3 linked regions of the Saccharomyces cerevisiae S288C genome follow. The gene in region 3 interacts genetically with the main gene of each other region. Each region holds a gene or a part of one and is shown on either strand. Other genes may lie near its edges.

Region 1 (3,761 bases), on a different chromosome or scaffold from region 3:
TACGGCACCCCTGCCACCGGTGTTGGCAAATGGGCTAAGGAAAACAACCTGCAACTAGTTGCCTCCAATTTCTTCTATGCGGAAACGAAATAGGTATATATATATATATATGTATATGTATTTATTTTTTAGATTTCAGTGCTTTTCACTTGACTTTTTATTATTTTTGTTTTATTTATGTTTTTGTCACAAACGCGCACATGTTTGTAGGGAGTAATGTCATTGTCAAACAAAACACATAAGAAAAACATGGTGAGATTATTAAAAAAGTGTATAAGTTTATAAAATGTTTATAATGATTATATAAGTTTGGGTTAGCCGAACAAAACCTTCACCAATTCCATATAAACACCGATCTGGAAGTCGTCCAGTTTCAAGCGATTCAGTTCAGGGGCCACGACAATTCCAGTGTTGTCCATGGAATAGTGGGACATCATATCCTGATACATCTCCCACTCAAACTTGTTTGAATCATAAAATTTGGAATCTATCGATAAATTGTTCGGTATAGCACAAAGCCAAATTCTTGTTTTGTAAAACTTAAAGAGTTCTTTGATCAGGTCTCTGAAATCATTACGCTCCTGGCAAATGTAGTAGAAAGTCAATTTCTTTCTGTCGAATTGGAACTCTGCATTCAATATTTTGATGTTCAACCCGCCACCGGAGTTATTGTTATTTAGCGACCTCAGTTTTAGCTGTGCAATGTGAAGAGCCTTTAGCTCATCCTGGAATTTGTTGTGTAAATTCGTGGAGGATTCCCACGGGGTGGCAAATCTCAGAACCTGCTTTGATGGGATGATCAATTGCGTTAGTTCAATGATATCATATAACTTCGGATTCAACTCATGAGCGACCGGCTTACCATTGGTTGTATCAACCAGAGTCTTGATAAACTGGTCATTGGGGAAATGCTGTTGACTATTGGTGATTAGAGAATCAAAGTGAATTTTTTTCTTCAAAAAATTTATAAATAGTGCCAAATTTATATCTACAACCGGTTCCACCACCAAAACTAAATCTTTACCACGATCACCATCAATAATGACCAAATCGCCCCTTTTCAGTATAAGTGTGGCCGTTTGTGGTTTAGACAACAGTTCGAGCTTACCATTTTTCAACGATACTAACACTAATGGCTTATAGTGCAAATGCATTGAAGTGCTGTTCTTGGATTTGGCCGCCCCGGTCGACGAAGCGTTTGAAACAGCAGTGGAGATGAATGCGTCAGACTGTGGGTTGTAATTCAGATTACAATTTTTCAAAAAATCCAAAAACTCTATAATCCTGGAACTGGAGGCGGAGACATTATCCCCGCGTAAAGTTCCCTTTATGCTGTCAATAAATTTATAAACTTTATCACTAGCAAAATAGTTTGACCCGCAGTCAAGATATAAGTCATGCAGCTCCTTGGATGACGTCAAATTCTTGCCGTCGACAACCGCCAATCCGGCATCGTTTGTGGGAGCGGCTGCCGGATGCAAGTTCAGCACTGGCTGGGTGTTGCGCCTAGCATTGAAGGGTGACGAGTACTGTTGCTGCTGAGTATACTCGGAAGGAGCAGTGTATGGTACTTGCAAAGATGGGTTGTTGTTAATATATACAGGTTGCGAGTATTGTGGTTGCTGGGTAGCCGCATTGCCATGAATCAGCGCATCAGAAATATAGGAAGATCTTCTTCCCGGGTCAAAGATGCTTTGTTGCTGTTGCTGCTGCTGCTGCTGCTGCTGCTGCTGCTGTTTCTGTGGATAGTATTTTTGGGAGCTGTTGTTTAAGGGAGAAAGAATATTGTTAGGCGAAGTGTTCATCACATTCAAGTAATCCTGTTTGTATGGCTTTCTGTCCTGAGTCGGGGTGCCGTTAAACTCAAATGAGAAAAGAGACAAATTAGGGCTCTTCCCGTTAATGCTCATCTCGCTCTGTTTCCTTCCTTCGTCCGCAAATGCGCTGAACGAGGCCCTTTTAGTGTTCTTCTGCCCCAGAAGAGACTGCTTATCCTCTCTGAAACCGATGTAACCGTTGATAAAGTCAACTCTGGAGCGGGGATGCGCAGCAGCGCTGTTGTCGTTAAAATCTGCCATTTTTCCTGGCAAATCCGCTAGCGACTTGCCACTATTGTTCTTGAACAGCAACTTGTCATAGTAATTCCTTAACTCCTGGTTGTCGGATATACTTGTGGTGCTATTTATTGAAGGCAGCTCCATGGTACCCTATTTCTATCTTTATTCCTGTGTCTATACGTCTATGCACTCTAGTGAGCTGATATTGAATGGCGCCTCCTCTCTCCATTGTTCTTTTATTGTTTATATACTGTGCCAGCGATCCCCGCGTGTCCTGCCCCTGAAACACCGGCGCAGGAACCCCTTGAGCGTGGGGAAGGGGAAGGTTCAATTTACGGGCAGCTCGAGCTGCCCGTAAATTGAACCACACTCTCTTGGTATTTGGATAATCAAGTGTGTACATACTTTGTGCAAGTGGGATTTACCCTACACCTCTCGAGGCCTTGTCCTACGATAGTCGTAATAACGCAGACAGCACCAGCGATACAGCAGCACCAACACACCAAGAAAAATAACCATCAACCGTACGGAAGCCCCTTTGTATGCTGGGTAGCTGATGTGCACCTAAATCAGCCGGGCGTGGCAGCAGTCGACGCATACTTGTTTCTTTAGCTCTATTCTTGTTACAGGACCATCTAGGTATGCAAAAACGAAGGTGCGGTTTTTCCTATCTGGTACGGTGCGGAAGAGGGAAAGAAGAAACGAAGGTCCAATGGTAGCGCCACTCCACGATATACAGCTTCGTTGGTAAAACCACGAGTTTGGAATCAAACTCGTGGCTCACCTATGGATCTTCGGATTTTATTTCAAGCACGGTCACCTCCCCTTCGTTGCGGTTTCTTGCGCACGTTTGTGGTGTCTATTGCTGCAACAGTTGAACCTGTTTTTGATTTCGTAATTTTTCTCCTGTCGTTTCGTGTTGTCATGGCGATTTGGGAAAAAGTTGAAAAAAAAAATAGCAGTAAATGGTAATCTTCAAAGAACGCAAACCAACAGAAAACCTTTTCACTAGAAAAATACCTGCCAAGTACTTCATCTTCTCGCCTAGTTTTTTGTCTGTTCATTATTTTGAATTTTATTTGCCCATGTCCGGTGATAATAACATTGAACCTACTAGTCGGGGCTCGAACGACAATAGCAACGGTCCAAGTAACGGATCTTCGGTAAACAGTAATCGGTACAGTTTAAACGCACCCAAGTACAGCAGCCAACCACCGCCAGCATCACACACTTATTTGCCCCCCATGTCAGTGAATATCCCGCCCATAGCGAGCAAATCATCGTCAATATACAGCCTGCTACACCAAAGTTCCCCCCGCCCGGAGACGCCAAATCCAATATTACCGCCACTTATCGGTAGTGGTCCCGGCTCCCATAAACCATCTCCTACCCCTACACAGCCTCCTGCACAACCCGCAACACAACGGCAACCTGCCACATACTCAGTGTATCCAGCGTCTATCAGCCTGAATAGATCGAATTCATCTGCTTACCCACTTTCTTTCAAGTCAGAGGAAACCTTAAACAATAATCCTCCTACTGCTGCCAAACGTACCAATACCTTCCCCTCAATTCCAAGCAGTACGAAAAAACAGAAAACAAGCCAAGAGAAACGAATCTCTTCCATTTCAAGGAGAAACACGCAAGAAATAATTGCTAAGCAAATTGCAGAAAATAACAAATCTAAAACCATCGAGGAGTATG
Region 2 (3,761 bases), on a different chromosome or scaffold from region 3:
ATGTTTTGTTAGGAGAAAGATATAAAAATTATGCGGCATAGGCATATTATCCAATAAAAAGGAAATTTATATATAAACTTCATTTACGTCATAAGAAAATGTTAAGTTCTCTTAACGAAAACTGTGCGAATTTTGTGTTAAAGCTGGATGATGAGAAATTATTCTCGTATTATTTTTCATCAGATACTGATAAGGTTTCAACGTCTTTTGACGTTGGCTTTTCCACACCATGTTTAGAGTTATAAAGCACAATACCGTTCTTCTTGGCATTGTTCCTTTCATCACGTTTATAGAAGTAGAGTACAACAAAAGTCCAAATGGAGAGACAAAAAGCAGAACATGCAGTGAAAGTAAACCCCTTTAAATACCTGGGAGCTTCTTCTGTTTTCCAAACCAAAACACTTATCCATGCGGTAGATGATTGAGCCATAATATTCATTGTAACTAAAGTAATAGCTCTAGTTTGAGCATCTCGGCGACAAATATCGTTTTGCCAAGAGTATAAAACAGGAGCCATAGCCCAACCAAAACATTGCAGCATAAATGCAAACCATTTGGCTCCTTCTGCGACGTCCCAAGCGGCTAATATGGAGTTACCAATGATATTGAAAACCTGAGTAAAAATAATCGCAAACCAACGAGAGTGTAATTTATCTGCAATAATACCAGTAAGCATCAAATAAACCATACCTAAACCCGGAGTAATCATGGATAACTGATTGAGCTTAGGAATAGAGTATCTTTTCAAAGATTTCAACCATAGTAGGTATGCCCCAGATGAAACATTACTGTCATTCCAACAGAAAATATTCCATAAAGTTAAAATGTATATTTTCCAATCACTGAAAATTGTTTTCCACAGTTTAATATCGAATACTTTTGTTTCAAAATCACTTTTACCTGTTTGGTTTTCTTTTAATCTTTTCCTCGCCAACCTAATTTCATCATCAGTTAAGAAAATAGAATAACAGTTGTATGGGTCACCTGGCAGGGAGTAAAATCCAATAAGGCCCACTACGACAGACACAATAGCGTCAATAATAAAGTTCCATCTCCATCCCTCTAAACCATTTACACCATTTAACGATGAATATACGGCTGACTGGATCCCACCAGCGGATAGAATACCGATATACTGGCCCAAATAGTAAAAAGCAGAACGACGCACCATTTCATCATGTTTGTAAAAGGAACCAAACAAATATTGGTATGCCAAATAACTTGGCGCTTCAAAAGCCCCAATGAAAAACCTAATTGCTTTCAAGTGTGGTACAGAATTGACATATGCAGCACCAACGGTTAAAAGCGACCAACATAAGTCGAGGCTTGGTAAAACATAGTTTAATGGGAGCTTGTTCAGGTAAATCAAAAATGGCAATTGAAATATAATATTACCAACTGTGTACATTACTTGAGTATGCACCAAATCATTACCTTGAAAGCCTAAATCTTCCTTCATTCCCGAAACGTAAGCGTTGTTTATATTAACCGTATCCAGATATTTCACCCAATAAGCAATACAAGAATAAAAGGCTAAAAGGACATCCAATTTAATTAATAATTTTTTTTCTTTGAAAGAGGTACCCTGTTTGAACCAACTATACCATTTATTGTGAGATCTTTCCTTTTCATTGATCCGATACTCTTGTTCATCGAAAAATCTCCACCATGGCCTATCGGCTTCATCTCTATATTCATAACTTCTAGTAACGTTCACATTGTCTTTATGTTCACTATAGCTACTAGTCTCAAAATGTAGTTGATCTTTTTCACTTGTAGTCGTGATGAAATTTTCAGCTGTTTCATGACTCTGGATACTGTTGGAGATAGTGACAATTTCTGTTGAATTTAAGTCATCTGGCAGGTCTTCCACCTGCCGCTTTACTGGAATAAAACCCCATTTTAGTCTTTTGTAAGGATCTACAATAATCTCTTTAACAATTGAATACATGTATGTTATTTATATATGCAGTAGTTCTCTTTGTAATTTTTTTTAACAAATAGAGAGTAAGATATGTAGCGAATGTCCATTCATCATAACAGGTAAACTAGATGCTCTTTTATATAGTCTGGTTGTATAAATAATTTATATCCTCATCTAAACGCATGTCTCCGCTTGGTTTCTTATCTATTTGTGGAGGCACCCGTAGTACTGTGCTTTCGTATTTTTTTATTTATTTATTATTTGTAGCAGTTTTTTTCCAGTGACACAATCTTTACCATTACACAGTTTTTACTATTTCTAATGATTACATTGGACCATCGGAAAACTGCGCTAACTTTGGATAACGCCACAGAACGTGATCTGACTATTGTAAAGGTGTCATTCGGTAAGGTAAACCTTCAAGGCGTCCACACCTTTAACCATATAACAGCGTAAACTCTTGTTAAAATACAGGGGTAAGACATTGGTGGATATTCAACAAGATCCGATACCTCCAATTCCGATTTCTACAAATTGTGCTCTACATATTACTGCGATGCAATTATCCACACATAAAATCGATGCCTTTAGAAAAAGACATAAAGCAGACGGCATTGTAGATATTTGACCAATTAGAATTGAATGAGATGAATATCTCACCAAGCTATTCGATATTATAGATAAAGTTTGTATCTTAGTTATGCATTGTGAGTTGGTTGCTCTACTCGCGGTTACCAGTCTCTTCTAAAAAATCTAAGGCCAATGGTATCCATGACATTTCTGCACTTTTTGTAATTGGTTTAGTTATGAAAGGAACGTCAAACCAAATGGTTTTTCAGATAAGAAATTGACAGTATCTGAGAATTTGCTATCAAAGCTCAGAGGATTTACATATTTTAACGTAATTAAAACATTTTTATGTTCGATATATTAGCAAATAGCGTATTAATATACAGCTGTTGCGCTCATGGTAAAATTTAGCGATATACTTTGCATCTTGGCTGCAAAGAAGAATGAATCGGATATACTATTTTTGATCATAATGACGGACATCATGATATAATAACGTTATACGGATAACTTTATTTCAAAAGCACCATCATGTTATCTCTTGTAAAAAGAAGTATTCTTCATTCAATACCAATTACTCGTCACATTCTTCCAATCCAATTAATATTGGTTAAAATGAACCATGTGCAAATCAGAAACATAAAATTATATCACTTTATTTCATATGGTTTCATGCTTACAAAGCTTACTGTCTTTCTCTTTAACTTATTTTTCTACAGGCTACGAATTCTTTGCAGGCTTACTTTACTCATATTATCATTACCTGTACAAATATATATTAAAGAAATCCAAACAAAAATGCTTGAAAAGCATACAGCTTCCGATACATCATGTATATAGAAAATCACAGTACAAAAATTTTGAATTTATGTATAACCGTTTCGCCTGATATATGTAAGAGCTCTTGATTGTCGGAATAGTTCGGGAATTCTGGGTGGAACTAGTAGCTGGAGATGCGTTCTAAAGGATCTAAAATCAGACTCACCCCAAAAACCAAAATTTTGATATTCAACTTTAGTATTAGCCAGTCTTAAAATGATTTTTTGCCAAGAAAGCCGAAGTTTAACGAGCGTTTTAAAATATGCACAAGTCCATTAATTAAATTTGATCACAGTGATTACCAATTTTGTTGAAAGCAGTAATTTGTGACGTCCGTTTTTGGCACAAGTAAAAAATATTTGTTTTGAAGTCTAGTTACAAGAAGCTACTGAAAACACAGGGCTGGATATAGATGTTTATAAGCTCCTCCCATGGTCTAAGAGTTTCT
Region 3 (3,531 bases):
CACTACCTGTAAGTGTCAAGACCCCACATGTATACATGGATACAATAAAGAAACAATGTCCGTATAATTTGTATACATTTTACTACAGATAAGGGATCTCACCCCCTTCTTTTGTGTCTAAGTGAAATCTTCTGATATATTTAGTGTTTTATAGCGTCCATGTTTTAAACTAGAACGGCAAAATAGTAGTTGTTGTAAACGCTTATTTTCGAGACATCAGGTAAAAAGGATAGTTAAATCTTACAATCAATGCATGTAGTGAGTGGCGTTTATCAATAGTTTTTAACAATTCCCATTTTGAAAGAAGCCCACAACAACCCTAGTAGTTCGTTAATATACGTTATGATGGTCAAGTGTCACAGTACGGAAAGCTTGCAAACAGCTCTTACATAGAGGAGTTGCTTCAAAATAAACGTCCTCTGGTGTCAAGTGTCTCATACAGCGACCACATGCGAAAGAAACTACTACAGATAAGCAAATACACAAATTATAATCGTGGATTCATCATCAGAATACGCCTGGCCCTGTAATCCTTTGGCTCACCAACATTCGATGGACACCTTTATATCTTCTAATAACAGTGAATAATAGACACAATACGAAGAAAAACCCAGCGGTAACCATGTAAACGGTACCACTTACGCCATAAGCTAAATAGATCAGAATGGTAGAGACTTTGACAAATAGCTCGAAAGCTTTAGCGAACATTAGTCTTATCCAATTTAAGTTGGGTTCATTGCCATCTCTACTTTTCATAATATGTTTTATCACAGGTGAAGAGTAAAATACAATGATGTTATGAAACTTTCCAAGCAACCCTAATTTACCAGTATCCTTATATGCTATTAATGTCGTGCCACCAGAACCAAATATCTTGGCAAATTTCCAGTATCCCACGATTTCGATTATAAAATCATTCTCTGAAAAGGTCATTGAATTGAACCCGCTCCTTAATATGTTGTATACGGAAAATGGGAATAAAATTAGCCCAATAAAGTAATCTAAAATGAATAAATTTCTAAGAAAAGTTCTGAGAGGGCTCTGCTGCCTTGCTGTGAATGGGGAATCGGCCGTATTGGCGTTGGTGGCTCTTATAGTGTCTGCATTGATTCCTCCATTTCCGTTTGTGGTTGCATCCATATTAGCTGCTCTATTTATATTTGAAGTAGAACTCATATTCCTCCTAAGGGAGTTAAATATTCCATCGATTGCTTGCTGTACATCCTGCTGTAGTTCTTGCTGAGATTGCTCGGTTACAGGTGAAGGCTCTCTACTATGCCTCGTTTCCGATTCTTCTAGAAATCGCTGAAACAGATAATCATCATTATCGTCTCTTTCTGTCCAATTACTGCGGCGATGATTTTGAGGCCTCGCCATTTTTTCTCACTAAATGCTTGTGAGGATGTATGCGTTTGATTCGGTGTCTCTTTAATCATATTCCCGAATCGACCCTATTTGAAGGTAGAGGGAGTTGTTTCCTCTCACTATTGTTATAAAAGATCATCAATGACGGAAACTAATATGCAATGAAAAAATGAGAAGTTTACATGAATATGAAGATTAACTGCACAGCAATGTTGTTGACCCTTGGTATTCGCACACACTAAGCCAACATAGGTTCGTTCAATTTTTAAAAAGAAGATGGTCCGGCCTCAGAATGTTCACTGGTTTATCGCTACAATTGTATTTTTCATCGGATTTGTACACGCTAATACAGAATCAATCTTATATAAGGTTCCTCACAACTTTCCCCTCAAAAAACCAAGAGACAGCTCTACTTATGCAAGAGATGTAAACTTGATATCTTCCATATCACTATCGGGAGAAGCAATGAGTCAGATCACTATCGAGGCCAATACCACTGACTTGGAGTTGCATAATACTACGTATATTGAACTGGCGGACTTACAGCGAGACGAAACATATCAGATTAAAGTGTGTTGGTCAGCAATACATCCAATTTCCATTAATAATCTCCAAACTATCACAATACCACGTTTCACTGAATTTCAGGGAACTAAGTCAGACTACGCGAGAATACTAGTGACTTTCCAGGTCTTGTCTGACTCGTATCCTAGTGAGCATGCCATGGTTCCAATACAAGTCTCATTAATCACCACTCGGCTAGGTATCCCCGTGGATATTTACCCAACATTAATCGTTATGGTGCTATTAGTAGCAGGGCTTGTTGTTACCCGGGCACCACACGTATTGAACGATCTTTTGCTGAAATTTTAGTATGGAAGCCTGAGCCCCCTTTGGCTGGATAGCTTGGCCTCATCACAACTAGAACGTAAAAAAGTCCATTAACCATCAAATGCTTCTCATTAAAGTGGGTATTTTTATCGAAAGAAAGGGACCTGAATATCTAACTCGCCGCTATGTCGAATGAAAACTTATCTCCCAATAGTAGTAACCCAGATTTAACTAAACTGAATAACGGCGAAAGCGGAACTATTGATACCAGCAAATTCTCGCCCAACGAAATGAAGCTATACAAAATGTACGGAAAGCTGCCATCAAAGAAAGATATTTTTAAGCATACCATGCAGAAAAGAAAATATTTCGACAGTGGTGATTACGCTTTGCAGAAAGCTGGCATTCAAAACAATGATCCAATAAACTATGGAAAGAATAACCTGCCATTAACAAATCCCAGCAAACTACGAGAAGATATAATAAAAAGAAGGATAAGCACTTGTCCGTCAACTGCCTCAACCGCTGGTGTAGTAGATAATGCGACGTTGATACAAAAGGAGGGAAGTATATCGAGTGGACCACCATCGTCTAATAACGGTACTATTGGAGGTGGTAGTACAAGTTCAACGCCAGTGGGGAACCACAGCTCTTCGTCGTCCAGTTTGTATACTGAATCACCCATTAGATAAATAGACAACCTGTACTTTTTTATATTTTTTTAGGGAAAGAGAAGGGTCTCTTATATTTAACGCTTATTATGTGATTTCTCGAAATGTCAAGTGTTACAGCCATATGGCTGACTGTGTTTACGTTAATTAGTTATATATAAACGATAAGCCATTCTGATGTTATCTTCTTGTACTTCTAATTAATAATATTTACTCGTCAGAATTTCGACTTTAATGAGAATATAGATATCTTCCTAGTTTTCCAAACATTAGAGAACCAAGGAAATAAAAATCCATGAAATATAAAAATTGGGAACCGTCGATAATATCTTTGTAGCAAGAGATACAACAACCCACCCCAATGCAGATGCAGCTCATTAACATGGATATTGAGCCGTCAAAAAACAACCACAGTATAATATTCAGAAGCCCCCATGCCCCTGCCGCCTGCAAAGAGGAGTTCCACTGTATTTTCCTGATCCCAAATGTGACTCCCAACATGGCATTGATACTTCTAATAACAGAGGTCAAACTGTCATGGTGGACAGAGCTCTTAACAACCTCTGTTTGAAAAATATTATCCAGAATTGGTACAACAGAACCAAATAACAGTCCTTCAACACCGTAGCCTAACCAGTTTGGCAGAACCCCATTGGATAGCCAG

What was found.
Region 1: mutations in ASI2 (region 3) and YLR177W together harm fitness more than expected from each alone (negative genetic interaction), as found in Saccharomyces cerevisiae (one large-scale study listed by BioGRID).
Region 2: mutations in ASI2 (region 3) and SEO1 together harm fitness more than expected from each alone (negative genetic interaction), as found in Saccharomyces cerevisiae (one large-scale study listed by BioGRID).

What each region holds. Positions count from the first base shown.
Region 1 is NC_001144.5:509,494-513,254, reverse strand, and holds YLR177W (uncharacterized protein), read right to left. Parts: upstream 2,202-3,761; coding exon 315-2,201; downstream 1-314. Other genes in the region: TFS1 (Tfs1p), read left to right, coding at 1-93; RFX1 (Rfx1p), read left to right, coding at 3,023-3,761.
Region 2 is NC_001133.9:7,066-10,826, forward strand, and holds SEO1 (putative permease SEO1), read right to left. Parts: upstream 1,952-3,761; coding exon 170-1,951; downstream 1-169.
Region 3 is NC_001146.8:337,971-341,501, forward strand, and holds ASI2 (Asi2p), read right to left. Parts: upstream 1,378-3,531; coding exon 508-1,377; downstream 1-507. Other genes in the region: PGA1 (Pga1p), read left to right, coding at 1,642-2,238; IGO1 (phosphatase regulator), read left to right, coding at 2,382-2,888; NSG2 (Nsg2p), read right to left, coding at 3,099-3,531.